Linked DNA regions of Alligator mississippiensis. The protein of the gene in region 1 purifies or fractionates together with the protein of each later gene. This does not show direct contact. Links are inferred from orthologs where the notes say so. Each region holds a gene or a part of one and is shown in the gene's direction. Other genes may lie near its edges. The genes, in order: CDC37, CLK3, YES1 and FGFR3.

What was found.
Region 2: the proteins of CDC37 (region 1) and CLK3 purify together in Homo sapiens (affinity purification with mass spectrometry; 4 studies listed by BioGRID and IntAct, counting the BioPlex papers as one, with this or other methods). This does not show direct contact. The link is inferred for Alligator mississippiensis from reciprocal best matches to the Homo sapiens genes CDC37 and CLK3.
Region 3: the proteins of CDC37 (region 1) and YES1 purify together in Homo sapiens (affinity purification with mass spectrometry; 3 studies listed by BioGRID and IntAct, counting the BioPlex papers as one, with this or other methods). This does not show direct contact. The link is inferred for Alligator mississippiensis from reciprocal best matches to the Homo sapiens genes CDC37 and YES1.
Region 4: the proteins of CDC37 (region 1) and FGFR3 purify together in Homo sapiens (affinity purification with mass spectrometry; 4 studies listed by BioGRID and IntAct, with this or other methods). This does not show direct contact. The link is inferred for Alligator mississippiensis from reciprocal best matches to the Homo sapiens genes CDC37 and FGFR3.

The regions. Positions count from the first base shown.
Region 1 is NC_081831.1:22,389,140-22,396,654, reverse strand, and holds the start of CDC37 (hsp90 co-chaperone Cdc37), read left to right. Parts: upstream 1-4,497; 5' UTR 4,498-4,567; coding exon 4,568-4,669; intron 4,670-7,515. UniProt on the Homo sapiens protein: Co-chaperone that binds to numerous kinases and promotes their interaction with the Hsp90 complex, resulting in stabilization and promotion of their activity. Inhibits HSP90AA1 ATPase activity.
Region 2 is NC_081834.1:41,769,303-41,776,857, reverse strand, and holds the start of CLK3 (dual specificity protein kinase CLK3), read left to right. Parts: upstream 1-4,544; 5' UTR 4,545-4,598; coding exon 4,599-4,736; intron 4,737-6,826; coding exon 6,827-6,975; intron 6,976-7,555. UniProt on the Homo sapiens protein: Dual specificity kinase acting on both serine/threonine and tyrosine-containing substrates. Phosphorylates serine- and arginine-rich (SR) proteins of the spliceosomal complex.
Region 3 is NC_081826.1:89,119,758-89,127,631, reverse strand, and holds the start of YES1 (tyrosine-protein kinase Yes), read left to right. Parts: upstream 1-4,862; 5' UTR 4,863-5,116; intron 5,117-7,874. UniProt on the Homo sapiens protein: Non-receptor protein tyrosine kinase that is involved in the regulation of cell growth and survival, apoptosis, cell-cell adhesion, cytoskeleton remodeling, and differentiation.
Region 4 is NC_081825.1:18,441,985-18,449,016, forward strand, and holds the start of FGFR3 (fibroblast growth factor receptor 3), read left to right. Parts: upstream 1-4,021; 5' UTR 4,022-4,108; intron 4,109-4,232; 5' UTR 4,233-4,285; coding exon 4,286-4,466; intron 4,467-7,032.

The DNA.
Region 1 (7,515 bases):
TGGAGGCCCGAGGCCCCCATGAGCCTGCCTGCTCCCCACCCATGCCACTGACCCATAGCCATCCAGGCTGGGCCCCATCAGGCAAGCATGGGACCCCCATGAAGGGAAACTGAGGCAGGAGCAGCAGGTGGAGGTAGGAAGACCTTCCTCCCAACTGGGGCCGAGTCTTACCCCACTGGGGTGATGTTAGGGTGCGGCGTTAACCCTTTTCACCCCCGAGGGAGGGGGCCCACCCAAGGCCCCAACGACCTCAGACCCGCATCTCCCCTGCTCCGGGCCGGATTTTGGCCCCAGCCTGGCCTCCGCAGACGGCTGGCACCGCGTGGGGGGAGCCGGGCAGGGACCGAGGTGGTGGTCGCCTCCATCCTGTGCCGCCTCCCCGCGGAGTTGGAGTCCCTGCCTTTTCCAGCGCTAGGGCCGGAGGGACCTGGAGCCGGAGCCGGGCTCCCCCTATACAGCCGCCTGCGGATGCCAGACTCGCAGGCGCTGCCGCAGCATCGAACCCCGGAGCAGCCCCCCAGCGGCCCCGGGCGGGGGGAGGCTGCGGTCCGCCCCCAGGACCCCCCGCCCTCGGCTCTGCCCCTTACCTCGCCGGGCCGGGGCGCCGCGCACCGCCCTCCCATCCAGGCACCGCCGCGGTGCCCTGGATGCCTGGGTTCCCCGCGCGCGCGTGTGTGCGCGTGTGTGCCCCGGACGCCTGGGTTCCCCGGGTATGCGTGCGCGCGTGTGTGTGTGTTTGTCTGCGTGCGTGCGTGCCCCGGACGCCCGGGTTCCCCCGGGAGGGGACGTGTGTGTCCCGGACGCCTGGGTTCCCGGGGGTGGGGGGTCTGTCTCGGACGCCTGGGTTGCGTGTGTGTGAGCATGTCCCGGACGCCTGGGTTCCCCGGGGGTGTGTGTGCCCGTGCCCCGGACGCCAGGGTTCCCAGCGAGTGCTGGGCGCTAGGAGCAGCGGGCAGCGGCCAGAGCGTGTGAACGGAGCCGCCGGCGCTGGTTCCCCGGGGCGGGGGAGCGGGGGCAGGACCGTCTCCCCGAGGCGCACAGCGGGTTGCTCTACGCCCAGCCCGGCGCCCCTCACAGCCCGGCCCTGCCTGCACCCCCCTCCATTCCTGCCTCTCTCACCCGAGGTCGCTCCCTTCTTCCCCTCGCAGCTTGGGGGCCGGGTCTGGGTTCTGGCTGCATCTCTTCCTCCCCCGGGGCTCCTCGACATCTTGAGTGTCACTTAGAGCAGCATCGGGGCTGTTCTAACTCATCCTCCCCCAGTTCCCAGGGACAGGATGGGGGCTGGGATCGAGCTCTCATGGCCACTAGCCCCATGCTGGCTGGGGCTTGGGGGTCCCAGGCCTGGGTTTCTGAAGGAAAGCCCTTCTGTCTTTCCCTGCCTCTTCCCCCTACTTTGGAAGGGGGTTTGGGGGCTGCCACTTACTTCCTGCCTGAGAGCCAGCTGCAGCCAGGGCAGTTGTCCCATGGGGCAACATGTCAAGGGCAGTCAAGCTTGCACCACACCCTGGACCATGGTGGGGGGAGGGGAAATCAATGGAAGCAGAAATACTAACACCCTCCAGCCCCAGGGCCCTGGGGATGCCCACTGGGGTGAAGAGCAGATGCTCCTCCCAGCCATGGGGCTGCATGGACCATGCAAACTTGGGGAGACTCCCCACCAGACCAGCAGCCCACATAGTACAGCTGCCAGACACAGACCAGGCTGGGAAATTGAGGCTCTGGGATTGGGGGGGCAGGCAGGGGGGTCACCCCACAGGGCAGGGGCAAAACCCAGGCATCCTGCCTCCCCATCTGATTCTCCACTCTCTCCCACGGCCTTGTGATCAGGTCACAGAGCTGTCAACAGGAGGCCTGCCCTGGTAGTACCTTGATGGTGCCAGGCCCTGCACAGGCCCTGCAAGAGGCAGGCCATACCAAGGTCTGTGGGGTCCCTGGCAGAGACACCGTGCTGCAGCAGCCCTGCTGCATCTGGATCCAGCCTGGGGGAGGGAAAGGCCACCCAATAGGTCACACCTGCAACCTGCAGGAGTCAGGGGATGTGGCCACAGCCATGCAGGGAGGCAGTGGCAGGTCTGAACTGCCCCACCCCCACCAATTCAGCCAGGCCTCAGTGGCTGCAGGGTAGTGCTCACCACTGGCAGGCCTTGTTCCAGTCCTTTTGGCTCCCCATGGCCTCTGCCATATGCTCCTGCCACCTGCCTGCTCCCCTAGGCTCTGTCCTGGCCATGCCAGGCCTTTGCCTTGGCACACAGCCCATGCACCACAGCATGGCCTGGCACCAGCCTTTGCTAGCAGCAGGACAGACACCAGCTCAGCTGCAGCCCTGCACTGGCCTGGCTGTGCTGGGGAAGGTCTGGAATGGCAAAAAACAGGAGCCTGGGGAAGGGGGATCTGCCAGCATTTGTTGCCTGGTCTGCAGATCCTTGAAACAGCACAAAGTTCTGCTGGGGTTCGGGGGAGGGGGAAGGAAGCATGATAGGAAGTGACCAAGTGCAGGGGGCCACTGCTGCAATGGAGGGGGTATAGATCTGTCTGGGGGGCACTGAGGGCCACTGCAGCATCACCCTGGGCAGGAAGATCCCCTAGCTTGGCCCTGGCTGCTGCTCTGGATGATGGTACTGGGGATGTGGGATTTGCAGGCCTCCCTTGCTCCTCCACGTGGCTGCCTGGGAGACAGTTAAGAGCTCTGGAAGCATCTCTAAGAGCAGCCTGGCCAGGAAGAGCAGGTCAGGGAGTGAGGTCTCATCACAGGGCCAGGGCTAGAGAGCTTTGATCCAGGGGGTTTGGGAGCGTGGAATGAAGCAGGGACTCAGCATTGCTGGCTTTGGACCCAACTGGAAGTCCATGCTGCCCACCACCCTGACATGCAGCTACCTCTGGTGCAGGAGGAATCTCCTCCAGCTCCTTTCACCCATTCTGTGTCCTATATTCCATCGCAGTCACAGGCCATGAAGGGATCCATCTTCAGGCCTTGGTTCTGAGATATCATTGCATCAAGGCCCACTGAGCCCAAGCATGGAGCTGGGGAGTCTTCAAAAGGAGTTTTCAAAAGGAGGGGTCTTCTTTACCCTGGGGGTCTTCAAAAGGAGGCTAGATAATCACCAAGCCGGGGTCATTTGACCCCAGCATTCTTTCCTGCCCATGGCAGGGGGGTGGACTTGATGATCTGCTCAGGTCCCTTCCGACCTTACCTAATATGAAACTATAAGTGGAAGGAGTTTCCAGGCTGTGCAGAGCTGGTACAAGGCTGGAATTCCAAGCAACAGCTCCGTGGCCGTGGGCAGCGCTGTTTGCAGCCTTGATGAAGCGATGACAGTCCTGGCATGGCTAAACCTACACTCCTTACTGAGGGGCTGGTGGGGCAGAGAACTGGGTGACCTGCAGCTGCGGGGACCAAGCTAGTGGGGAAAACATTGGGAATCTGCTGGGGGTTGCATCCAGCCTCTGGAGGTGGGGAGACAGAATTCAAACACCACCAAAGAGACTCAGGACCTGGGCACAGGTGTTTTCCTGGAGTCTGAGCCATTCCTAGTCAGTCCCCCCAGCTTTGGGGGCTGCTGACAGCCAGGGGGGAATCTATATCTGGCTGAGATCCTTCAGCAGGGAACATGTGTACTTATGTGTTTGCACTCATGTTTCCGCCCTGCCAGCGGCTACAAGGCTCAGAGCAACCCCACAACCAATGCAATGGATGGGACCAGTCCTGAGTCCATGCAAGGTTCTGGCCATGGATGCAAGTGGGGAGGGGTTGGCCCTTCCCAACCCCTATGGTTGCAGGCACCAGGTTTCCCTCATGGCAGGCGCCAGTAGCTGTGAGGGGGTGAGGCCAGGAGGCTTTCCCATGTCCAGCCTTGAAGGATCCAGCCCCGAGCTCCTGGCTTGCAGTTGCTAGGTATGCCTCAAAGTAGCACAGACCAGGCCCTTCATGGCCAGCCCCAGCACCAAAGCAGGATGAGGGCTGGGGGGCTGTAAGCACCAAAATAGGGGGGAGGAGGGCACACTGACCTTTCCTCTCCCCCACTATGTGCATGGCAGGAGGGGTGGGCGGGGCAATCCCTTGCCCCACCCCACTTGTGCATAGCTCAGGGGGTCCTTCCCCTCCTCGAGGGTAGCAGTGGGGGGTCCCCTCCCCCTCCCCGCATGTGTCCTGGAGAGGTATCCCAGCATGTGCCTCATCCGGGGACTCTCCTCCCTCTCCCACCACGTTAGACACATGGAAGGAAGCCCTCCCATCACACTGTACTTGAGGTGTGTACACCTTTAATGCCCACGCCATCTTGAGTTGGGACGACGATGCAAGCACACTAAGCAACTGGGAGGGGAGGGATGATGCTCCTCTTGGCCGCCCGCATGCGCGGCAAAGGGAGGCACCCGCTCCCCACAGGGCAGACAAGGTGGGCAGCGGCGCGCGTGCGTAGTGGCGCCGGGGAAGCCAAAACGGGCTGCTGAACGGAAAGCGGGGAGGGCTGGCGGAAGTGATGAGAGGTCGGGCGGAAGTGGGCGTGCGCGGTGCTGGAGGGTTCCAGAAGGGCCCGGCGGGAGCGGCGCGGGCCGGCCCTGCGCAACCATGGTGGACTATAGCGTGTGGGACCATATCGAGGTGTCGGACGATGAGGATGAGACGCACCCCAACATCGACACCGCCAGTCTCTTCCGATGGCGGCACCAGGTGCGTGCAGAGCTCCCCCCGCCCCCCATGGTTGCCTGCATGGCAACCACCTCCCCCGCACCAGGCCTTGGGGGGCTTCCCCAGGAGCCCTACCCCTTCTCCATGGAACCCCCGTCCCGGGCCTGGCCTTGGGGAGATCCTCTGTCTCCTCCTTCAGGAGCCCTCCCTTAGCTCCATGGAATCCCCCTGGGAGGTCTGTCTGCATGGGAGCCAGCCTCCATCCCGCCCCCGCCTAGGGGTCACATTCTGTCCCCATAGGAACAAGCCTCTCCCCCAGGGACAAGTCTTTGAGGAGACCCATTTCCACGGAAACTAGGCCCGGGGGGCAGCCTTGTAGAGACTCTGTAGGTGTCCCCCACACCTCATCCTTGTCCTCAGGGTTCCCCCCTACTTCTTCCCCATGGGATCCCCATCCCAACAGACACCCCCCTGCTCTGCTCCTCTGGTGCTGTGCTCTGCACTGTCCCACGTGCTCCTCTCTGTGGGCCTGGCTCCCCTAAGAACCCCTGACCCCAAGATTGTGTTTCTAGCTCAGGACAGGCCTGGTCTTCCTGGGGCTGCAGATGCACAGCCCCAAGGAAACTCCAGGATCTGTGCCCTTGTGTCAGTGCTGTGACTGAGTTGCTCCTGCCCTGAGGGTGCTGCCTGATTCAGCGCCCTACCCCCTGCATGGCTCATCTTGCCTGGTTTGGGAGGCAGCCTGTCCACTTTACCCTTGCAGAGTCCTTGGCTAGGGTCTTTGCCTGTGCTGTCAGCCAGCAAACCTGGAATGTCTCTCACTGCTCAATTGAGTTGCTACCATCTCTGTCATTTCCATCTCCCCTCCAGCCCGGCCCGGCCCAGCACAAATGAATGGTGCCAGCTGGCAGTCCTGGCTGGGGCCTGGCTATCCTGGCTGACTGACCATTGCAGTTAGCTGTGAAAAGGGCCAACGCTGCTCTTATGTGGTCTGTCTTTGGCCCCTGAGCTCCTCAGTCTCACAGCGTCAGTCCTTGCAGCCCCATGCAGTTGGGCAGTGCTGCCATCCCATTGTGCAGGTGGGAGCTGTGAGGCTGAGGAACTTGGCTTGTGTCGCAGAGCGCATCTCTGGCATAGTGGGGGATGGCATCAGCCTCCCATGTGCCCAGCCCAGGAAAGTAGTGGTGCCCCGAGCCCTGGCTGTGGCCCGGCCCCATTGGACTGCATGCAGCAGTGCGTGCTCAGGGGTGTCTCTTGGACCTCTCCCCCACCCAAGGATATGCCTCACTATTAGTGCCTCACTATTAGTGCCTCTCTGGTGACCCCTCTTTTCCCAGCTGCTTTGTAAGATCTCGAGGAAAAGGGCATTGGTCGTGACTGAGCACAGGAGTGAGCCTCTGAATCCAAACTCCGTAGGCCTTAAATGCTGGAGGCTGCAAGCAAGAGAGGAACAGTGGGGAAAACCCCTGTTCATTCTTCTTTCTAGCATCTGCTCTCCGTTGCAGTGTGACATAGGCCTATTTGTCACCTTTAAGAACATGGGCCTAGCTCACCAAGTGTTTTATTAGCCTCCCTCAGGTGTGGAGGCTACAGGAAAAGGTGCCAATAGGTTCCATGGACACATGGTAAAACAACAGGGATGGGAGTGTTATATGTTCTTACGATGTGGAGCCTGAGTTACAGGTAAAGACCCATAGTACAGGCAGGGAGACTGAAGTACAAGGGAGGAGAGAGACCAGTGCGCGACTGGTCTGTGACTGCCTCTGTGTATCTGCAGTTGTAGACACTTGGTGTCTGTCCCCCTCTGGCCTCTTCTCCATGGCTCAGACATGTTCCTTGATACTAGAGGCTGCTGGGGTCAATGCTGGCAGAGGGGGAGGTTGGGGCTGTAGATAACTGCAACTGTACAAAGGAATAGTGGAACTGGGCACTTGGGAGCCCAAATGAGCTAAGCGGGAGCTTGGAAAACTGATGCTTCCCCTGGACAAGGCCTGAGTCCTTGCAGTGGGTCAGTGGCAGCTCCTGGAAGAGAACCCCAAGCTTCCTGTGCGGTACAGGGCTCAGTCCTTGCTGAGGGAAGTGGCTTAACACAGCACCAGGAATATCCCAGGTGAGCTCTGTTGTGACAAACCAGGGATCTTTCTCTAGGTGGAGACCTGTTCTTTAGCTGGTAACCCTATCTCTCTCCCCAGCTGCTAGCATTTGGGAACCAGCAGGAAAGAGACTTAATTTTTCAAGATTCCACTAGCCTCTGCAAGAGGGTTAGATCAGAGATGGCTAAGCTGTGGCATGGGGCAGATCAGGGAGGATACAGGCAGCGCAGCAGCAGGTGGGGCAGGGAGTAGATCAGGAAGGGGAAGGGGATCACAGTGGCACTTGGGGAGGGCGTAGGGGTGACGCATGGCATGCCTGCCAAGGAGCTTGGCCCCCATAGCTGTAGATACTGCTGTTAGCTTGAGATATTAATGTGAGCTTACTAGCTGCAGTCCAGCCTGGGGGTTGGGGTGTAGTGAGGCACTGGGCCAAGTCCAGGTATTTTTAACAGGTCCCAGTTTAGCAGATGACCTCCAACGGCAGCATCCCACGTGCCCTAGGGACTAACAGAGCCTCATGCTTGGGCCAGGTCACTGCAGAGGTTGTGTTTCACATGTGTTGTCCTGGGTGGAGCTGTGTCCAGGGCTGGGAACACACCCCGTTGGCTGAGGTAGTTCCAGCCTCAGCAGTGATATGCACCAGAGCTGAAGCTGTGGCACATGACTGTTGTGGTAGAGCACTCCCAGTGGCCTTGGGTGGCAGGCAGAAGCTTTGGCCTTACACCCCCTCCAGGAGCTCCCAAAGCAGAAAATGCTGCCCTGAGCTCCAGACATGACTCAACCTGTGCTCTGCTG
Region 2 (7,555 bases), on another chromosome or scaffold:
CACACCTACAGCCTAGGGAATGACCTGCTGGGTGGCACAGAGGTGGAAAGGGATCTTGGAGTCCTAGTGGACTCCAAGATGAACATGAGCCGGCAGTGTGACGAAGCCATCAGAAAAGCCAATGGCACTTTATCGTGCATCAGCAGATGCATAACGAATAGGTCCAAGGAGGTGATACTTCCCCTCTATCGGGCGCTGGTCAGACCGCAGTTGGAGTACTGCATGCAATTCTGGGTGCCACACTTCAAGAAGGATGCGGATAACCTGGAGAGGGTCCAGAGAAGGGCAACTCATATGGTTAAGGGCCTGCAGACCAAGCCCTACGAGGAGAGACTAGAGAAACTGGACCTTTTCAGCCTCCGCAAGAGAAGGTTGAGAGGCGACCTTGTGGTTGCCTTTAAGTTCATCACGGGGGCACAGAAGGGAATTGGTGAGTATTTATTCACCAAGGCGCCCCTGGGGGTTACAAGAAATAATGGTCACAAGCTAGCAGAGAGCAGATTTAGATTGGACATTAGGAAAAACTTCTTCACAGTTCGAGTGGCCAAGGTCTGGAACGGGCTCCCAAGGGAGGTGGTGCTCTCCCCTACCCTGGGGGTCTTCAAGAGGAGGTTAGATGAGCATCTAGCTGGGGTCATCTAGACCCAGCACTCTTTCCTGCCTATGCAGGGGGTCAGACTCGATGATCTATTGAGGTCCCTTCCGGCCCTAACATCTATGAATCTATGAATCTATGAATCTATGAAACTGCTATTGGCCTTTGGATTTAATAAAGGCATTTTAGCCAAATTCTGGCATGGTCAATTGAATGCCAGTCATGACTGGGCTCAGTGGGCTGTTGGGACCTTTCCCTTTTTATTTAGTCTCAGTAGAAAAAGAACAAGAACCTTGAGCTTTTACCGACCAGCTACAGTATCTGTGGAGCAAACACTGATTCATGGAACAAGCCTATGAGATTAGATAGAAATATGGGGCCAAAAATATCCCTGTTGTAATTTAGCAAACTCAACAGAATTACACCAATGATTTTGCCTTAGTGTAATGGCACCCACATGACAAATGGGAATGCTGAAGCTAAGTGACTTGCCTGAACCCACACTATCAGTTAGTGGCAGAGCTGGGTGTGAATGTATTCAGATGTTGACTCTTTTCCAGATCTACATGCCATACTCCAGCTCTGCTTCTTTTTTAAGGACTAAGATGTGGGTGATTTTAGATTTAGGGAACCAAGACTTCTGAATTTGTTTGAAATGGGTACAGTTGGTGAAATGTCAAGAATAAATGCAGTATGTTTCTGTTACTTGTGTACTCATTCATCCATCCAAACTGTACAAATAAGTGGACTACACTAATAAATGGAACAGAAAAAAATTGCAAAAAATACATTAAAAAGCAACAGAAACAGATAACATAATTCCTGATCCTAATGTGGCACTGAACTGCAAGTCATTCCATACATTTTTCTGTCCAGTTTTAAAGACTGGGTGCTGAATAAATGAAATACTATGGGAATTGCTGTTCATTTACATCTTAGGCCTACATGTGATGGTATACGTGTGTAATGAATAAGGAAACCTCACACAAAACTGATCAATTCTCCTTCTCTCAGACATACCGTTGAATGAACAGTCCTATATAGGCAATAGGGTGGTTAATGAAAGGAATCATGTGTAATGTATCTCAAAAAAAGTAAAATACACTGTAAAACAACTAGATTACAAAAATATTTCATATCTTGAAACATTATGGTAAGTCATCTGTTGCAAGAGGAAATCTTTTTTCGTACTGCTCTACTCAACCATTGCATTATTTCTCTTTGGCTTTCTTTTTCTAGTCCTGGCTTATGCAATAAACCAAAATATGCTAAAAAAAACCCATTATGTAAATAATTGGGTGATGTTTAACTGAAGAGATAGTAAATGTTTTTTGACCTACTGGAAAGTAGGCAAATAATCAATACGCAACAAAGCAGAATTTACTGTATGCACCAATTATTCTCAGCCGGGGTGCTGCAGCACCTTGGGGTGCCTGGAGAGTCTTTCAGGAGTGCCACTCAATGTAGCACTGCTAGGCAGGCAAACATGATTCACAAGATAAACGCAGAGGCATCAAACAGGAAACCAAAGCTTCAAAACCATTCTGAGCTGCTACGGTCGTTTTGAGTTCATAGAAGACAGACAAAGTTCTTTGGGTAAATCCAATATCTTTTATTAAAACAACTCAAATAAAAGATATCGGATTTACCCAAAGAACCTTGTCTGCCTATGTTCTTAGACCAACACGGCTGCAACCTACACCCTTGTCACAGAAGAGTTGCTCTATTATTTTTCCATAGTCAAAAATGGGTGAAAGCTAAGAGCGTGCACTTTCTGAGGGGGACCTTGAGTCTAACAAGGTTGAGAACCACCGTTACGCACTAATGTGTATAAAGAGCACTGGTGTATTACCCTTACAAAACACAACTGGATAGTACCATCCAGGTAGGGTTGCCAACTCTGAATCTATTCCGGGAGGCTTCCCAAATGCCAACGTGCCTGTGACACACACGAGCGTGCCCACATGCTTGTGTATATCAGTTACAGATTAAGGTGCATGGGCTTCAGGCCAGGAAGGCAAACGCACATGATTATTACATTTTCAAAACCCACTGGACTACTGTATAAATCAGATTCAACATTTAATATATTTATTTCAATGAATGCCCTATCATTTATCTTCCGGTGACTCTCAGCCGTCTCCTGGAGATTTATATCTAATTCCTGGAGACTCCAGGGCAATCCTGGCGGGTTGGCACCCCAACATGCAGCAAGCATTAAGGAGAATACCCTCAAATCTACACTAACTGCTGTTTTCCTCTTCACAAAGCCCCACACGTGTCTTCCCACCCACTTGCCCTTTGCAGGTCGCAGCACTACAGGACTATCACTGACCGACCCACAAACCATACACGTCTTGGTCCGTGCCGTCAGCTTCTCTGCCCTTGCTTTCGTGAGATCCCCACCGTGCATGATTTTCAACACCAGGCAGCGGGCAGAGGAGACAAAGCCGTCCCTCACCATTGAACCAAGAACTGACCTCTGTTCTCCGTGGTGGCAGGTGCCAGAACAAGGAGCAACGGGCTCAAGATGCAGCAAGGGAGGTTTAGGTTGGATATTGGGAAAAACTCTCACTAGGAGGGTGGTGAAGCACTGGGCCGGGTTACCTAGGGAGGTGGTGACATCTCCATCCTTGGAGGTTTTGAAGGCCTGGATTGACAACGCTTTGCCTGGGATGATGTAGTTGGGGCTGGTCCTGCTTGGAGCACGGGGTTGGACTAGATGTGACCTCCTGAGGTCCCTCCCAAATGAACTTCCTACGCTTCGAGAGGCGGGGTCGGCTTGCTAGGCCCCGGGAGGTGGTGGGAAGGAAGAAGGGAGACCGCTAGATACAGGAACTGATTTCTTGGGGCAAATCAGCAGAAAAGAGGGACGGGAGTGAGGTCACAGGTCAGTCACGAGGCCTGGTTGACGCGTGCGGGACACGTGGGCCTTGCGCCCAGAACAGTGGTTGCCCTCCGCCCTTACGGGGACGGCTCCTGGGTTTGCGTCAAGGGCGCTTGGGGGACAGGTAACAAGCAGGGCGAGGTGGCAGGTGAAGCACAAGGAAAGGGGACACCGGGGAGCCTGCGGGCGTGGACCAGTGAGACTCTGCCCGCAGGCGAGGGGGGATCCAAAACTGGGGGGAGGGGCAGTGGGGTCTGGGGACCCCCTGGGCTGGGAGGGGAGGGGAGGTGCGGTGCTGGGGAGCCCCAAGGGTGACCCAGGGCAGCGCTCTGCCCCTTTAAGGGGCTGCCCCTGCTCCCCACCGCCCCCCCCCCGGCCCTGGGCCCAGCTCCGCAATCCTCCAAGCCCAGCAAGAAGGCGGCTAGAGCGCCGCGCGGAAGGGGCCGCCCCCGGAAGCGCCGCTCTAGCGACAGGAGGCGGTTGCGCGCGCACACTGCGCGTCGTCGTCGGAGCGGGGCGACAGCCGGAAGCGGAAGCAGCGGCTGGGGCCTGGCTGGGCCCGAGAGCACAGCGCTGAGGGGGCGCGCGGCGGTGAGTGTGGGGGGAGGGGGCGGCTCCGCATCCGGCCCTCGGGGGTGGTGGGGGGGCGGCAGAAGTGAGGATCCCTGCAGCGCCCCGCCCGCGGCCCCCTCCGCGGATCTCCCCTCACGCGCATGCGCCTTGGCTGGAGCCGCCTCCCGCGCCCCGGGGCAACGAGGGCGCCAACCCCTGCGTCGGAGGCAGCGGCACGGCGCGGATGGGATGTGCCCGCCCGGCGCCGGGGCCGAGAAGCGAGGCGGCGCTTGCCCAGGGGGCTCGGGGCCTAAAAAGGTCGAGAGCGGAACCCGTTTTGTCCCTTGGCGCGGCGCCCGCCGGACCGCCGAGCTGCGGACGCGAGGGAAGGGCCGGGGGGTCGTGGCCGCAGCCGCGGGGGGGGGCAGCTTTTTCCCTCAAGCTTTAACGGGAGGGGGGGAATCCCCTTTGTTTTCAAGGGCCGACGGGAGCTCTCCTTTCCCTTGCCAGACAAACGACTGGCCTGGGCAGCCTGCCAAAAGCAAACTCGGGCTGGCTTTGCGTATGCTCCCAGGGGCGTGCGTGCGTCGCACCAATCCTGCGGGACAGCAGGGGTTGGTACCGATGAGGATTGCGCATCCCGAGCCCTCCTGCACCAGCAGAGCCGGGTCCTGGCTGTGGAGGGCCGAGGCATTCGTTGCGGTGAGATGCTGCCAACGCTGTAAAAAGTCATTGTGGTGGGGAGGGATCAGGAGGGCTTTAATTTTGGATTGGCAGCCAAGTCCTCTTCAGCAGCTTTCGGCCACGTCAAGGATACAAATGGGTCAAAGTCCTTTGGCGCTTCCAGGCCAGGATCAAGTGTCCGTGCGCGGTGGCGGGTTGTGTTAAGGATTAAGGCCTCGTAAAAGGTTTTTTGCGCTGAAAATGGATCTGCTGGCTGGCGTCTGTCAAAGCAAAAACTAGAAGCCTCTTTGGCACGTGGTGATTTGGGTTGTGTTTGTGATGTGCGTAGGGCAAACGAGGAAGCAGGCAAAAAGATGGGGGAGTCATGTAGTTGAAAGGAAGGGAAGGCTGTGGGCATGGGGATTACTTGCTTAGTTTTTCCCTCTCTTGGCTGGCGCTTGCTTGTGAGGCGGTAGTGGCTTAGCTTGGCCACTGCCCACCTCTGTTGCTGCCTGCAGGAACAAAACTGATGCTTTCTAGTGAAAGCGATGGAGGGACATTCACTGGATATGGGGGCCAACGAAGGTTGAGGGGCAAATATGTGATGAGGAGCTGGTAAAGGCCATCCACCCTGAAGGAAAAGAGGGGAGGATGTTTTGAAGGGGAGGTGGACAGAAAAGGGCAAATGAATTAGAAATAAGGGAGCAGGAGAGAGCCACACAATCCATACAAGGCAGCGGAGAGACACGGGTTAAGAAGCCGTTCCATAAAGGGATCCTGACGTGTGTTTTTCTTTTAAACAAAGTTTGACCTTTCTGCATCTGACTGACTTTCATTTTCTACGGTGCAGAACTACAAGCCCCAGACAGTAGTTTCATTTTAATGCCTATTTACATTATAACAGTGCTATGCTATTTGAGTTTGGACACTTCTGGGTTTGAATCTAAACTGACTTTTCAATGGGATTTTTCTTTAAACAATGTTTTGGTGGGCATTTTTTCTTTAATGCGTGGTAGTTTTGTAGTACAGGTTTAGTATCTTAAATCTTGAGCTGCTGGTTTGAGAGGTTTGCATTCTTTTCTTGGGTATTAACGTAACTGATAATTGTGATATTACATTCAAACAAAATTGGATCCAGGTTTCCTGAAATGACTTCTATGCTCAGTTGCCATCTGATACGTGGTGCTGACGGGGTTGTGGAGTGAGAGCAGAAGATCTGCTCGTGCATGAACTGCACAAGGCTGCTTAAGCTGCCAGGAATCCCTTGTGTAGGTGTATCCAGGCCACATCCCTTTCTGTGAGATTTACTTCTCCCAAGTAAGGCAGATGCAATAGCTACCGTGACTGCTCTGCGCCACCAGAGGATTTCTTCTTGCACGGGAATCCTCTTGGGGGCATTTCTAGTTAGTGATATTGGAGCAGGACAGAGGAACATGGGGGCACAGGCCATTAATTGGGCCATTATTCTAGCCACCATGTTTTTTAATTTCATGTCTTTTGATAGTGCTGGCTTTCCAGGCATTATTAACACAGGATGAGTTCAAACGAATGATGAAAAAGCAAGAAGGTCTGCACAAAGGCCATCTGGTCTGCTGATCAAGACCGAGTTTAATTGTAGTAAAGGAACACTTGATTTAATTTAGTCCCATTATAAATGGAGTTAAATTAGTTCCAGATTCTTATCCCCACCCCTGTACTCTTACAATCACATGTCCTATTTGCTTAAAATACTTTTGTATATCTCTAGCTTATAAAATATTTGCAAATGGTGTGAGAGCTGAATACATGAGGGAAAAAGTGAAATCTCAGTGGAGAGTGGAAAAATCCAGAAAAATATTCTGATTGTTTTTCAGTGGGAGTAGTAGTAGGTGTTAATAGGTATTAGATTGGAAAAAAGGGTGATGTGCAACTGTTCCCTGCTGTTGCACACATTGCGGAGACTTCTTTATTTATAACTGTAATTACTAATGTTGGTGATGACTTTTGTTGCTCTTTCTCTCATCTCCTCATGGCTTTTTGTTTTCACCTTCTTTAGTTAATAAGTAGGGAGCTCCATGAGACTTGCAAACTGTCAACAGTTTGTTCCAGTTGATACCTTTTACTCAAGTGCCTTCCTTATTGCGCCCCAGATGCATCACTGTAAGAGATACCGATCCCCGGAGCAAGAGACCTACATGAATCACAAATGGAAGAGGAAGAGGTCTCGCAGCAGAGAATACGAAGGCAGATTGAGATACCCACCTCGCAGGGATCTTTCAAGGAGATCACGATCTCGAAGGTGAGAGCAGGCTTTATCAAAGGCTTGGACTGTCTTCTAAGCAGTTGCTGTGGAGTGGGCAGGTGTCTGCCTTAGATGGCTGTTGTGTTTTTGGATAAACCTTTGATTCTCATCTGAGCGTTTGAGATGAGATGCCTAGCACAGGTGCAGGCCTGTCAGCTTTACAGGTACAGCAGAAGAATACCTAGCCTAATATTACATTCTTTAACTCTTGTTTTGCCACTTTCTTGGCTGTGCTTTCATTCTTAACCTTGGATTGAAGTCCATGGAAAGCTAAGACATGATTAATGCACAGCAGAATACACTTGCTGAATGGACAAGGTTGTTCAGGTGCAGTTAAAGATTAGTTACTCCAGCTTCGCTATTCTTTCATATGGACTACATTGAATAGTGATCTTCTGGATGAAGAAACCACCTTAACTGATGAAAACCTTTGCTGTTTAGTTTTACATCATGACTATCTCCATATAGGCTTGGTGTGGGTTCTTTAAGTGTTTGTAACTATACACTTTTGTGCTGCTTAGTTACCCCTGAATCCTCTCTGCATCTCTAAAGAGTTAGCAAATGGGGAAAGTTGTAG
Region 3 (7,874 bases), on another chromosome or scaffold:
TTGTGTGGGGCAGGCAAGAGCAGGGGCAGGCACTACAGGGGGCCAGGCACAGAGGGAAAGGAGGGTCAAGTGGTAGGGGGGAGGCAGGCACTGTGGGAAAGGGGCTGGGCCCAGGGTGCACAGGCACTGGAGACAGGGGGAATACAGGCTGCAAGGAGATCAAATGCTGAGAGGGACAGACAGCAGGAGCCAGCCACTTTACTCCCTTACCGCCTGCTCCCATGTTGCTGCAGCTGCTTGCCCAGCAGCAGTGGTGGGGGCACAAATATGAGACAACCCTGCAAAATCAGATTATATACATTAAAAATTATAACAAATTGATAAATTTTCCGTGTACAGAAGCTATTTATTGGGGGGTTGTCTTATATTCAATGTCATCTTTGATTAGCGTAAATATAGTAATTTTAAGCAAAAGTCAATGGGATGACCAGTTCTTTGAACAAAGAATCATCTTTTTGTTGTGTGATTACACAATGGACCCTGATCATTAACAAGGCTGTGATGGGATATAACAGCACAAGTAATAATACTATATGCATGCTTACAGTAAATGTTTGTATGGATAAGGCCTCCTACTGTAGTTGCTGCTCTTATTCTAGAGTTATTCATCTCTTCAGTGTCATTATATCAGAGGAAAACTGGGCATAATGTCTTTTGGATTCAGTTGCCAACAGAAATGTTGTGGCATATTTGTTCCTATATTTAAGTATTTTTCACACTTTATAAATATAACCATAATATTCATACATTTAGAATCCAAACAATACAAAACAATATCTATGATTCCAAGGCTGTACATCTACATTCAGGAAAATGCTGTGGATTCCTTTCAATTTTTATTCTGCTTTTAACTATTTCAAAGAAAAAGTACTTAATTATTTTGCAAATACCATGAAAAACCTGTTAATCTCTAATAAACAGCACATCGTTAAACACAAAATACCATGGAACAGAATTTCCCAGGAAAATATCCTGATAACATTTTAATTATTTTTTCTAAAGTGCACACTGGCACTTTTAAGTAGTCACAAGATCCAACGGATCTTCTATATCAGGTTTATATATATCATTATCAAAACATTTAAAAATACAAAGCTTTAATTTGTAACTAAAAACTCAAGGCCTGATTTTTAGATAGCACTTTGGAGCTGTATTTGGTAAGCTAAAAAGAATATTTGAAGATGTTTGTGCCCACATCATTCTGGTACCATTAAAACAACATCTTTATTCCTTGTTTTCAATGCTTGTTTTCAAAAACGATCCTTAAATGTTCCCTATGTGCATAAAGTGTAATGTGTTTTAATTTCTTCATGAATTGAATTTTCTGCCAAACTGCTTCAGAAATTTAACCCACTCTTATTTTTCAAAATCTCAGAATGGATGTTTTTTCCTTAGTCACTCATCAGTGACCTTTCATCTTTTTCTACATTTCCTCTCTGTTTTTTTCTGCTCTTTCTCTTCCTCAGAGACATACTTTATGCCTTCATTATCATTTGTATTGGAAAAGTGTCTAGACGATTTAGTCCTTCAATTAAGTAACCTAAATTTTTTTAAAAATCATTGTATAAATATGTAATTACATATTTAAATATAAAACCCAGAAAAAATTGGGCTAATTTTAAAAAGTCTATTTTTACGTATTTTGTATATGTGATATTTGCATATGATAACTATGCAGAAACAAATACTGTATTTTTGCATCTACCAGGTATGTGTGTATGTACATGTATCTGTATATGTTTATATAGCCATATATCCAGCTGTGCATCTAAAAACAGAGGCCAGGTTTTCAAAACCTTATTAAATTTACACTATGAGAATTCCTCCAAAATGCTTATTCTCATTTTAAGGGGTGATGGTCATCAAAATGCATGGGAGGATGCACTGAGCATCTGAGTCTTTTGACCAAGTTTCCAATAATGAGGAACTTTCACCATGATTGGGTGAATTAATAGAACTGCTTTCATACCATAATCGAGTTACCTCACCCCTGACATCTTATGTTCAAACTACAAGAGTTCACAAAAGCCAATGCACTCCTTTAGCTTAATCCTAATATTCACCAAGACAAAATTATTCTGAAGTGTATGCTAAGGATATCTGTATTAAGAAGATCTAAGATTTGGTCTTTTTTAAGATATGTAAGTTTGCCCTAGTGTCTGTTCTGTAAAATTAACTATGCAGCAATGGTTGCCCATCTATATAAACATACAGTTGAGCCCTCAGGCCAAATTCTGTTCTTATTCAACTCCAGTGTAAATCAAAATTAACTCCACTGACTTGTGTTAACGAGACCAGAATTTTAACCAGGCTGTGAATACTCCTTAAATCAGTCATTGGCAATTGAGTCTGTAAAACAATCTTATTCTCGTTAATTAAAAATCAATTCTATATATAGGATGTGAATACTTGAGGGAGAGTTACCATAAATGAAAGATTCAACTAATTTTAAAAAGATCAGATGGATGAAATATATGTTGAGGAAATGTTTCATTCCAACATGTCAAATTGCTTTTCATACTATTATTTTATAAACTGCTTCTTGATACAAATGGGAAGGGTGTGATATAAACAAACTATGCACTCACATTGGTTTGAAATCACAGGTTGCAATTGTATACCACAACTGGCATACAATTTGTATTGGTGTACAATACAATGTAAATCACAAGATCATCTATTTAAAACATGAAAAATACTTAGCAGTGAATTAGTATGCTTATTATTACAGCACCTTCAACTTTGGAAACAAATGCTGGCCTGATACTGCAAGTACAAATACACGTATAAATTAGGTTTGAAAATAAGTACTCCTGAGAGAGACTGATTTGTACATGTGAAGCTGGAAACCTCACAGAGGTGGAAAGGGATCTTGGAGTCCTAGTGGCACAGAGGTGGAAAGGGATCTTGGAGTCCTAGTGGACTCCAAGTTGAACATGAGCCGGCAGTGTGACGAAGCCATCAGAAAAGCCAATGGCACTTTATCGTGCATCAGCAGATGCATGACAAATAGGTCCAGGGAGGTGATACTTCCCCTCTATAGGGCGTTGGTCAGACCGCAGTTGGAGTACTGCGTGCAATTCTGGGCGCCACACTTCAAGAAGGATGCGGATAACCTGGAGAGGGTACAGCGAAGGGCAACTCGTATGGTCAAGGGCCTGCAGACCAAGCCCTACGAGGAGAGACTAGAGAAATTGGACCTTTTCAGCCTCCGCAAGAGAAGGTTGAGAGGCGACCTTGTGGCTGCCTATAAGTTCATCACGGGGGCACAGAAGGGAATTGGTGAGGATTTATTCACCAAGGCGCCCCCGGGGGTTACAAGAAACAATGGCCACAAGCTAGCAGAGAGCAGATTTAGACTGGACATTAGGAAGAACTTCTTCACAGTTCGAGTGGCCAAGGTCTGGAACGGGCTCCCAAGGGAGGTGGTGCTCTCCCCTACCCTGGGGGTCTTCAAGAGGAGGTTAGACGAGTATCTAGCTGGGGTCATCTAGACCCAGCACTCTTTCCTGCTTATGTAGGGGGTTGGACTTGATGATCTATTGAGGTCCCTTCCGACCCTAACATCTATGAATCTATGAATCTATGAAACCTTTGGTTTATAAGCTTTCCTTTTTTCTCATTCTTGTGTTTTGTGATCATAAGGTTAGCTGCATTTGCAGGTGAACTCTCTCTCTCAACTCTCCTTTGTGGCAGACTTCCTTCCTTGCAAAGTTATCACTGTAAATGTGAAATGCTGATTCATGAGCCTGAGGTCACTGGAAACTGGGTGGTGTAGAACTGGATGTTACATGATCTTGAGCTCTTCTACTGTTGTGATATCCATCTGAACTGTCCCTAGTTCAGGATCCGGGGCTGCAAGCAGTGTCCAAAACACAGCAGAAGGAGAACTCCAGTGCTTCCCCCTCTATCCCCCAGTGGTCTCATTTGCCTCACTTGAACAAATTTTAAAAGGTAACTTGCAAGCAAGCAAGCTTGCACATCTGCCCAGGTTTACTCATTTGGAGACTCCCTCGGAAGGGACTCAATTTACAGCTATTGCGCAAGCCACTCTCTTGACAGAGCCTGGGGTGGGGGGGAAGGATTTCAAATCTGTTTTCTGAAAGTCTTCTTGCTGAGCCAATCCTGGATTGCCCCAGAGCCAGTCCTCAATCCTGGACTACCCTGGGGCCAATCCCAGACTGTGCCAGGGCCGGCCCTGGACTACCTGGGGACAGGCCCGGACAGAACCGACCCTAAAGGTGTGCGGGGCCTGGGGCATATCCGCCTGTGCAGGGGCCAGACATGGCGAGAGGCCGAAGCGCAGAGCTAGTGGCACATGGTGGCCACGCAGAGTGGTGGTGGCCTCAGCACGTGCCAATGGCACTGCCCGCAAGGCCTGTACAGCATGGGTCACGGGGCCCCCCCCCAAAGTGTGGAGCCTGGGGCGGTCGCCCCAATTCCCGAGCCACTCCAATCCAGGGTCAGTCCTTAATCCTGGACTCCCTAGGGATAATCCTGGACTCCAAAACCATTCCCCGACTGTGCCAGGGCTAATCCTGGACTACCCAGGGCCAGCCCTAGAGTCAATCCCAGGCCCAATCCTCTATCCTGGACTACCTGGGGCCAATCCTCAACCCCGGAGTGTCCTGGGGCCAATCCTGGATGATTCCCGGGCCAATCCCGGACTATCCCAAACCAACCCTAAGCCAAATCCCGGGGCCATTCCCCGGCCCCAGGGAGCGGGAGGCAGGCAAGCGCCCGCCGCCCGACCCCGCCCTTCAGGGCCCTCGGGCAGGAGCAGCGCCCCCTGCGGGCCGGGCCGGGCGAACGAGAGCCTCCCCCGCGCGTCGGCCGCCGCCATGTTGGGCCGGCGTGTTGCGCTCGGGCCGCACTGAAGGGGCGCCGCCGCCTGCCGGGAACAGGGTGTGAGCGCCGTGCCCGGCCCGGCCCGGCCCCACCCCTCCCCGCCGCCGCACGGTGCGGGGAGCCCGGCGGCAGCGGGAGGAGGCGGGGAGGCCCCTCGCTCCCTGTCTCGCTGGCGGAGCGGAGCGGCCGGCTCCCCGCGTGCACAGCCCAGCCCAGCCCAGCCGGTCGCGGCCTTTCCTCCTCGACCCAGCGGCCAGAGCAGCTGCAGGTGAGGCCCCGCTCCCCGGGGAGGCCGCGGCGGCGCTAGGCCCCGCACACCGCGCCCTCCTGCGGGGGCGCCTGGCTCTGAGGAAAGTTTGCGGGGAACTTTTTTTGGGGGGTGCGGGGCGCGGCGGCCCCCGGGGCGGCCCCGTCTCGCGTGGGGGGTGGGGAGCCGCGCCGCCCGCCTGGGCTGAGGGAAGGCGCCGCGCCTCCTCGCTTTGTGCGCGCTGGGTGGGTGGGGGCCCAGCTGCGTGTCCCTCCCACCCGCGCCTGGGGCGAGCTTTGCTCTTTGCCTCTCCCCCCTCCCCCGGCTTTGTCTGTCTTCCTTGGTCGCTTGTGCTGCGTGTGGGTTTCAGGACTGGGAGGCATTGGCACATGCTGCCCAGAGAGGCTGTGTCATCTCCATCCTTGGAGGTTTTTAAGACAAAGCCTTGGTGGGGATGATGCAGTGGGGTCTGGTCCTGCTTGGAGGAGGGGAGTGGGGGGGTGGGATTAATGTCCCTTCCAGCCCTCATGTGACGGGTTCAGGCCTCGGTTGACCCGGGAGGCGAAGGCAGCTCTCTGTAAAAGCGTCCTGTTCTGTCCCAGCAGTGCTGGAAAAGGCAGACATCAGGGAAATGCATTTTTCCAGTCCTCTGTAGCCTGGTGTCCCTGCTTTCCTCCGGTAATGCATCTGTGCTCCCCTCTGTTCTCCTTGTGGCGACTTGTATCCGAGAGGCAAGGCATCTCTAGGACCATGCCTTTTCTCAGACCAGCCACCTGGCTGAGATAGTTGAACGTCCACATTACGAGATCTCTTGCCTTCGAAAGCTCGTCTATCGGGGGCGCAGTGACTTACAGGTTTACGTTTGCAGTAGTTGCCCTTTGTGGAGCCTGCTTGTTTTTGAAAAAAATCAGATGGAGAAAGCGTAGGCCCTCAGTCTTGTGGAGACATGTACTTGACTTTGCACCTTGTGAGTAGTCATCTATTGATGCATGGTCCATCGAGTTCTGCACGGGAGTGAATACCAGCAGGCTGGGGGCTATAGGCTGTACACCTTAGGCAACAAGTGCATACCGTTGTATTTATTTCGGTAATTCCAACTCCACATGTTTTGTGACCAGGGATATGGACCATTTTGCTTTGTTTGGGTAGAGTAGAATATTGTTCTAGAGAGTGATTTATTCAAATATACCATGCTAATTAAATATTAGGCAAGGTGTCCTTTTTAGGGTACTACTCCCCCAAGTTCTGTAACGTTAACATAGTGCTTTTTCATAAATTCTTCACGTTTTGTAAATTTCAAAAACAACTCCTTTAGTTAACAATATAACTTGGACCTCAGTCTTGCAAAAGCTTAAGCATATGTGTAACTTCATTTAAAAGTAGGGTCCAATGAGTCCACATTCACAAAACTAAGCAGGGATGTTAAGTTTTGCGGAGTCAGGGCCTTAGTACTTAGTACTAACGAGACAGTATTTGCAACATGAATGAAGTATAATACACGGATCAGAAGGGATTATTTTTCTCCCCAAAGCAAAAGACTACAGTAAACACGTTTACAGAAGGGGAAAAATAAAAGCCTGGGATAAAAGGCAGAAACTGATTGTTATGCGTCTTTGGTTGTTGGTTTTCATTACTTTCCATCAATTTAGGCCCAAATCCTGCTTTCACAGTCCCTTCAGCGGGAACACAGTTAGTCCTTAAATACCTTTAATTTGTATTTCTTATTATAAAGTAGAATTTATTCAATTATTTTTGCATAGTATTTTCTACCAAAATGGGATTTTGGCTTCTAGGGGAAAAATGTGTGTGTAAAAATATATATTTGAACGGTCAGATTATTTTATGTATTGTATATAGCTAGTGTAACTATAATAATTTCAGAGAAATCCAGAGCGGGGGGAAATGCCCCCTGCAACCCCACAGCTCCCAGGAGCGGGACCATGCAGGACAGCATGGTGTGTACACACACACCCACACCCACCCACCCCCTGTGGCGTGGCTCCTTCCCCTCTCCTCCCCACCCCAAGTCTACTGTTAAAGCAACACTGTTTGCAGCCCAGAGGAGTCCAGACCAGGGAGCAGCCCATTGTCTGGGCTCCTTGGAGAAAACTGAAGCAAAAGTTCCATGTTGGCACAAAGCTGCCCACATGTGCCAGGCTTCTGAGTCAGGAGGCAAGCAGGACAGTCTGCACAAATCTGGGATTTTTGCTTCAACTTTCTCCAATGGCTAGGACGCTGAGATGGCCAGGACAGTTCCAGATTTCAGAGGCTAAACCAGGACATATGGTCACCCTATATATAGCTCAGAAAAAATACTGCTTTTGCAGGGGTGTAGTATGTTAGAAGGTACTAAGTTAAAGTAGTTAGTCAGATGCCAGTTTTTACCTGCCATGTCATGTACCAAAATAATGTAAAACTACAAGAGAGTCTATTCCTTTAACACACCAGGAGGGCTTTGAGTGTATTGTTACCCATATTCATGTAACAGAACAAACAATACAACGTTTTATGCTCTAGAATAGAACCTTCTTTATTTTGATATGCAATATACTTCCAGCATCTCCAAGAGAGTAAATCAAAACTATTCACTGTGTTCCACTGTGGTAAATGTGTGTTGTCACGTGACTAGTGTACAAATGTCTATTTTGTGACAAACTATAAAACAAGCTCTGGTTATATAAACTGGCATTTAAGTGGTAGCATGACTTTACTGCTCTATACATTTCTATTTGTCTTTGGACAAAAGCAAGACCTTAGCAATAAATTTTCAGTCAGATAT
Region 4 (7,032 bases), on another chromosome or scaffold:
CACTTTCTAAATTACCTTTCTCAGTAATGAGCAGTGGGGGGAAAGCTGAGAGCTAACTGGATGAGACAGTCATTCTTAGAGTTAATTTCTTGGTGCTTTGACACTAACTTGTCTTAGGGTTTTGAACAAGTTGCTCTCTCTAGAGAGCAGACGGACAGTCTCTTTCAGAACAGAGTGCAGCATATATGTCGTTCGAACATAATGTGAACAGAATCCGATGTTGAGAATACAGCAAGGTACGCTCGTATCAAATATTCACAAGGAAAAAGGGCATCTATTGTTCTAGAGCATCTGGAAGAGAATTGCTTTTCCATGCAGCTGGGGATATTCAAGGTCACCAATAAGCCTAACGAGAAGTCTGAAAACGCAGTCTCTTCAGTGGTAAAAAGTAAACAAAGAATTAGCAATGCCAGCCACTCCTGCAGTATGATTTTTTTCACTGACAAATGTACCAAAAAATTAAGGTGAAAGCTGTACTTAACCTGGTTCGTATGTACCTTATGGCATAATGACCATAAAAATCAACTCAAACAGTGTTGTGTAGTGTTTACAGTCCCACATAAATGGATTTTATAGTGGGAGCATGGCTGAGACACAATCCAGAATCTGAGTTTTTGCTGCACATGATATCTTGGGAGCTATTACAATTACCACCAGTGGGGATCCAGCTTCCAGAAATCAGCATTTAAGCAGATCTGTATTCCACAGTTCAATGTGAATGCACTGGGCCAGGAGTTGATAAAAGGGAAAACTTAAACTATTCCACTCTAGGGAAAGCTACAAACCTTGAAGTTCTTACAGAACCATCTCAATCCCACTTTAATTTCCTCTTGTAAAGGGCTTCCAAGTATCATAAGCTCTTCCAAATGTTATAAGCTCCAAATGAAAAACAGTTCAGACCCATTAAAGGGTTGTGTTTACATGATTTGATTTCTAGGTTGTTACATCTCTTAGGAATCATAAGAGGTAATCCTGAAATTCACTCATATTTTCACCAAGTTGAGGAAGCACTTGGCATCACCTGATGTGATAGCACGTCCTAGCATCCTGAGCACAGACCTAGAGGCAAGAGAAACGTTACTGCTTCTTCTAGACTCACTTTGTGGCTTAGGAAAGGCATTTAATTTCTCAGTCTCCATTGCCTCATAGAACAAGGATGATAATAATTAAAGAGGAAGTGTGAGGGTTCATTAATTAATGCTGGGTAAACTTCTGATTTTCTTTGCACTGGCAATACAATAATATGAGATCACGTTTTCAAAAAACAGGAGCCTGGATGTCTTCAAAATGATAACGACCTCCAAATTTGCTCCACGCGCTATTTTTATTCTTATAATTGCTTTATTATTATTGATTTTCTGCCACCTCTGACACAAGCGCTGTGAAAGTAACTGTCTTTCATCTTACCAATTGTTGAGCCTGTAGATTAACCACATCTTAGTTATGCGTCTGATTTTCCCCCCATTGTTTTCACTTGAAGTGATTGTGTCACTCAAGAGTCTCCGCTCAGATTTCCTTGCCACAGGCCCATCTCAATGCTCTCTGACACGATATTGAGATGTCACTGTCTGTGTGACTGATGAAGGTTTCAAGACAGATTCCCATCTCGGTTACAACAGTGCAAACTCAGAGTAATTCCAGTGAAACCAGGAGCCACTCTAGAGTTACACTGAGATCTAAACCTGGCACATCATCATTAATTTGGAAGGGACTCTCAAAGCTGCCGCGTGCTGTAACACTCACGTTCGGTTTTTATAATTCTGACAATGTCCTGTATCCGCACAGGCTGAGGTGAACTACTCCAGCACAAGAGCGCTTTATTGCTGCCCTGATAAAGGGATTTCTCGGCTGATGTGCTAATATTTGCATCTCCCTCCTTCAGTGAATTACTTTGTCAAGAGGATTAAGACAGAAGTATGACTTATTCTCAGTATGATACAATTTGAATCACCTCTTAATGGCAAATGGTGCATGTCAATGAGTCAGCTTGGCTGTATCTGTAGGTATGTTGCATTGCCTTAGATGATGATGAGATAGCTGTAAAATTTTTAATGAATTTTAATCTCCACACATGGTGAAGAAGCTGGACAGAAAAACCTCACGTTGTTCAGAGGAAGGGAAATATGCTAAAGAACCCGGCTCTATAGTATAGAGTCTCTTAAAACTGGTTTCTTGGAGTCTGTGCTTCTGTTTACTGGACTGCTTTAATGCAATCTGAAATAACACTTTTGTCAATTTGCCCTCGTCCCATTAAAAATATAATGAAACATTTTAGATAATGCCACCCGCTGTTTAGGCACCACAGGGCTAGAAATCTTCAGGGACAATGTGTGATGTAAGCTGTACATACATTTCTAGCAATGATGTACATGAAAATCCAGTGATGGATAAAATACGGATCGTCCCTGTTTAATGACGACGATGAAAACTAGCACTTCCACAGACGCAGCTACCCAGCCTGCTGTGGAAATACTACCTAATGAATCATCAAACCCCGCTAGTGTGTTACATCGCATTACATTACGTTGCATTACAGGATTGCAAAGGATGTTTGTCGTCATTTTGAGGAGATCCATCCAGAACTTTTCTTTCCTCTTCTCAGCTCTCCTTCCACCCCACCTATAAGAACCTGAGGCGCGTTTAAACCTGGAGCATCATCTTTCATTTGGAAGGGACTCTCAAAGTGGCCACGTGCCGTAATATTCGCTTTAGATTGTTAGGAACCAAGGATCATCAAATTCAATCCCTTTGCTACTGATTGTTATAATCCCTGGATGGATGTCTCCTTTTGGGACACCGGTGGCAAGGTGCTGAGAAGGGATCAGAGGGGAGAAATCAAAGAATCATAGAAGTAGGCCTAGAAGGGACCTCCAGGGGGTCTAGTCCAGCATTTCTCAAACCATGGGTCACGACCCAAAAGTGGGTTGCAAGAATATATGAAAGGTTTACAAACAAACTTTAAAAATGGATCTTCCTTTAAAGAGGAAAAACACGGGAAACTTGTGAGTTTTCCCTCACAGGCTGACAGAGGTCCAGCTTGCAAGGGGCTGCTTGGGGACCCCTGGCCCCACACAGCATTTACACATGGGTCCCGGTACAAAAAAGGCTGAGAACCACTGATCTAGTCCAACCTCCACCTGAGGCAGGATCAGCCCTATCCAAACCATCCCGTGCAGTCCATAATCTAAACTCTGAACAAGAGGACCATCAACCCTGACAGAGCACAGACCTGACACCCAGCGTCCTGCCCCTATGAAACACTGTCAACACAGGCTGCAGAGGTCCTGGGTGGAGGGCCACCCCCACCCCCTAGTTAGGCAAAACCCCCACAGTCCCTACCCATCCCACCACAGAGTAAAATACTTTCCTGACCCCAAATCTGGCTACCGGGGGACCCCCGTCCCTGACCGGTGTCAGGGGCAGCTCTCAAGACTACCCATACCTTCTTTGGTCCGCAGTCCCAGCCCCACGAACGCCCCCAGCTACCAGCAGCCTTCGGGGTGGGCAAACCAGGGCCCCACACCTTAGGGGTCCCAAAAATGTTGCCACAAATATCCGCCTTGCTTACAGACCCTCAAAATTAAGCCTCGACGCATTACGACCCGCCGAGTCCCTAAACCACATCACGAGGTGTGTCTATTCGTGTGTCAGTCGCACGCAAAGGTCCCCATTTGGAGATTTCCCCCCAGATCTCCTCCTGACTCTAAAACTTGCCGCGGAGCCCGCGTGTCTCTAGTTCAGAGCCCCCCCATCATCTTAACTACGCCTTGAAAGGGCGGCTGTGGTGCAAGGACAGCGGGGAGGCGCTGCTCGCCGGCCCCACATGACTGTGGGCGCTGCGGGGACGCCGGACCCCGGTGGAGGGGCGGGAGCGCAGCCAGGTGCGCTGCGGGCAGGGAGGGAGCGAGGGAGCCGGGCCGGGCCGGGCCGGGCCGGGATGCCCGCGGGGCAGGCGGGGCGGCAGCACGGACCCTCCCCCGGGGCCGGGCGGAGCGCGGGGCGGGGTCCGGGGCAGGCAGTGGGGCTGCGGGCGGCCGGGCTCACAAGCGCGGCGGCTGCGGAGCGAGCAGTGGCGGCGGCGGCGGCGGCTCCTGCATGCGCGGGGCAGGTAGGCGGCGGTGCGGGGCTGTGGGGCGGGCCGGGCCGGGCCGGGGCTGGGCTGCACCTGCTGGTGCCCGCGGGCCCGGGGGTGCTGCGCCCGCTGACGGGCCGCGCGCGTGTCGCCCGTGCAGAGCCTGCAGCGTGATCGGGAGCCCGGGCAGGGCGGCCAGCATGCGGCCCCGCGATGTCTGAGGCTGGCGGGGGCAGCGCCGCGACCAGTCCGCGTCCCGGGAGCGCGGCCACAGGAATGATTGCTGCGTGGGGCGCCTTCTTCTGTGTGTACCTGGTGGGGACCGTCGGCAGCCGCCCGGCGGCCACGCTGCCCGGCTCGGACCCGGAGGACAGGAGCACCCGCAAGCCCACGGGTAAGAGGGAGGATGCTCGGGGCGGTGCGGGGCCAGATCTCTCCTGCACCCTCAGGCTGCGCTTGGCAGGTGCTGGGCGCCCCGGCGAGCTTGCTTCCCCCCCCGCCCCCCACCCCTCCAACTGGGAAGGGTGACGCTTTCCTCGCTGGGGCTGCAAGGGACCTCGCACATCTCCCCCATGCACTCGGGCAGCAAAGCCCGGCGCCTGCGCCGCTTTCGGGAGGCAAAGCCCACTGTCCACTTGAAATGTTCCGGGATGTAGGTGGTTTTCTGAGACGAAAAGAAAGGCAAAAATGTAGAAATCTTGGTTCCAAAAATATATATATATATATATATATATATATATATGTATGTTTTGTAATCTCTCAGCCGGTCTAATAAGAGGTATCATTTTGGAGCCGTGCATTGTAGATTCTTTGCATTCCCAGAGGTTTCCAAGACTTTCACTTGACAGCCGGCACCTCTGGATTGCTGCTCAAGCGCGCGGCGCGATAAAGGCCAGCCAAAGATAAAGGGGAACGTATGCCGGTTCTTGGTAGGGTGATGGGAGGGCAGATCGTATAAACCAGTGCTCATCTGTATGGATGGAGCGCAGCACACAGTAAATCCCAGGTTAGTCATAAATGTAAGCACCTTTCGGACCACAAGCAAGGGGTAAAGTGTTCTGTTGATCATTTAGACTCCGAAGTCAGAACTGAAACTTTAGCTTCAAATACGAGTTAGATCCACAGTGCAGCCCTGTGCTTGAGATTGCTCTGTTCTGGACTCGGGAGGACGTTTGTTTATTTGGTAGAGTTTGTCCTGCAGTTGTTTTTTTTTCCCGCTTATCCGGGCTAGAATGACCCAGTGAGAATAGATTTAGAATTGAGCTCACTTTCTTAGAGGACTTTTTGTTACATCTCTGCAGTCACATACATACAACATGTATCAACAGATTTGGTTCATGGCACAGCTTGTACGTGGAGTTTGCAACAGCAGAGAGATTTGCTTATCCAGATTGCAGACACACATTTGAAATCCAGACTGAATGAGAGGCAAGCATTTGTGTGTGTATGGATGCTTCTTAGAACTATGATACCCCTTGTTTTATCCCAATTTTTTTAAGAGGAGGTTTTGAAGAGGATGTACTGGATTGCGAACGTGTTGAAAGGGAGGAAATATTTATGGGAATCTACTAACTTCTCCTGCCTTGAATGAAAATGTTTCTATCATGAGTAAGGAAAGATAAGGTACATGACAAAAACTGGTTTAAAAACAGAGAGACTGTTTAAAGTTGGTGTCTCTCTGATATGCCTCAGCTGCTACCTGAGTCTGTTTATTTTTTCAAAGCTCTTTAATGGAAGGTCGCCTCTCCTGCTTCACTCTTTTTTAAGGTTCCTTGCACCAAACAAAAAGTTCCCATTGTTCAGGAAAGGGTTGAGGCATGTTTGCCAAAAAAGTGACAGGGGAAAAAAATGTGCTTCGTGGAGGCTAGGGGTGGGGGCACTCTGTCTACCCCCCCCCCCCCCCCCCGCTTTTGGTTACGGCCATAAATCACACGTGGGGTTGGTTTTGTTTTTGAGAAAGTACTAATAAAACACCAGATTCTTAGTGTAACTTGTTTGGCTCATTTTTCACAGCCAAAAGAATTGATTTATAGTGCAGCATCACAGCTACTTTGTCAAAGCAGATGAGTTTGGGGTTTGCAAAGGAAACAAGAAAAGCGTGCGCTAGTAAGCTGAGCAAGGGGGTTGCTGAATTTCAGTGGCAGCATTTTTCTTCCTATTTTAGGCCAAAAATATACAGGGTTGGCTTTTATGCGCAAAATTCTGCTCTTCGTAACCCCAGGATAAATCTGGAAAGTCTCCACTAGCTTCGTTGGAAGCCCCCTGGAGTTGAGCATCTGCAGATTATAAATTTGGGGGCCACAGCAGTATTATAATGAAGCAGTGTTGCTCCGTCCTGTAAGGCAGAATGAGTGCTGAAATTGTTGAGATGACATTTGAAATACAACAAATAGTGTACACCCAAGTCTTTCAGGGTTTTTCTAGGAGAGAAGTGGTTAAAAAGAATGGTCCTAGGGCGATGCATCTCCCAGGGACGTAACCAAAATTTCCAAATTTTCTGTGGAAAGTCTACATACGCGTTCTATTTTTACCATATTGGCTCTTCAAAGTAATGGCACGTTTCTGATCCCACTGAAGCTGGTGCCAACGTTCCCATATGCGTGAGCAGGATTTGACCTGATCTAAGTGCTTCTGTTCCACTAATGCACAGCATATTTGTAAGTGTTTCTCTGTCAGTTGCAGCAGTTCAGAGTTTTCCCTCTGTAAGAAAAGAGATTTCACACACGCGCACTTTTGATGTGCACAGTGTTACTGAAACAGCCCCGAAGGCTATAAAACCAGATTGATTTTTGGTAGAACATGCACATGTGGAAAGCCACTCAAATGAAGAGGATCTGAAATATGCCTAGCAAAACTTTTTGGTTGGCTTGTCACAGTGTCCCGTTGTCCAGTCGGTTGTGGGCAAGGGGCGAGGTTTGAATGCGCAGGGCACTGTTGAGGAAAAGATTGTGCAAAAGAAA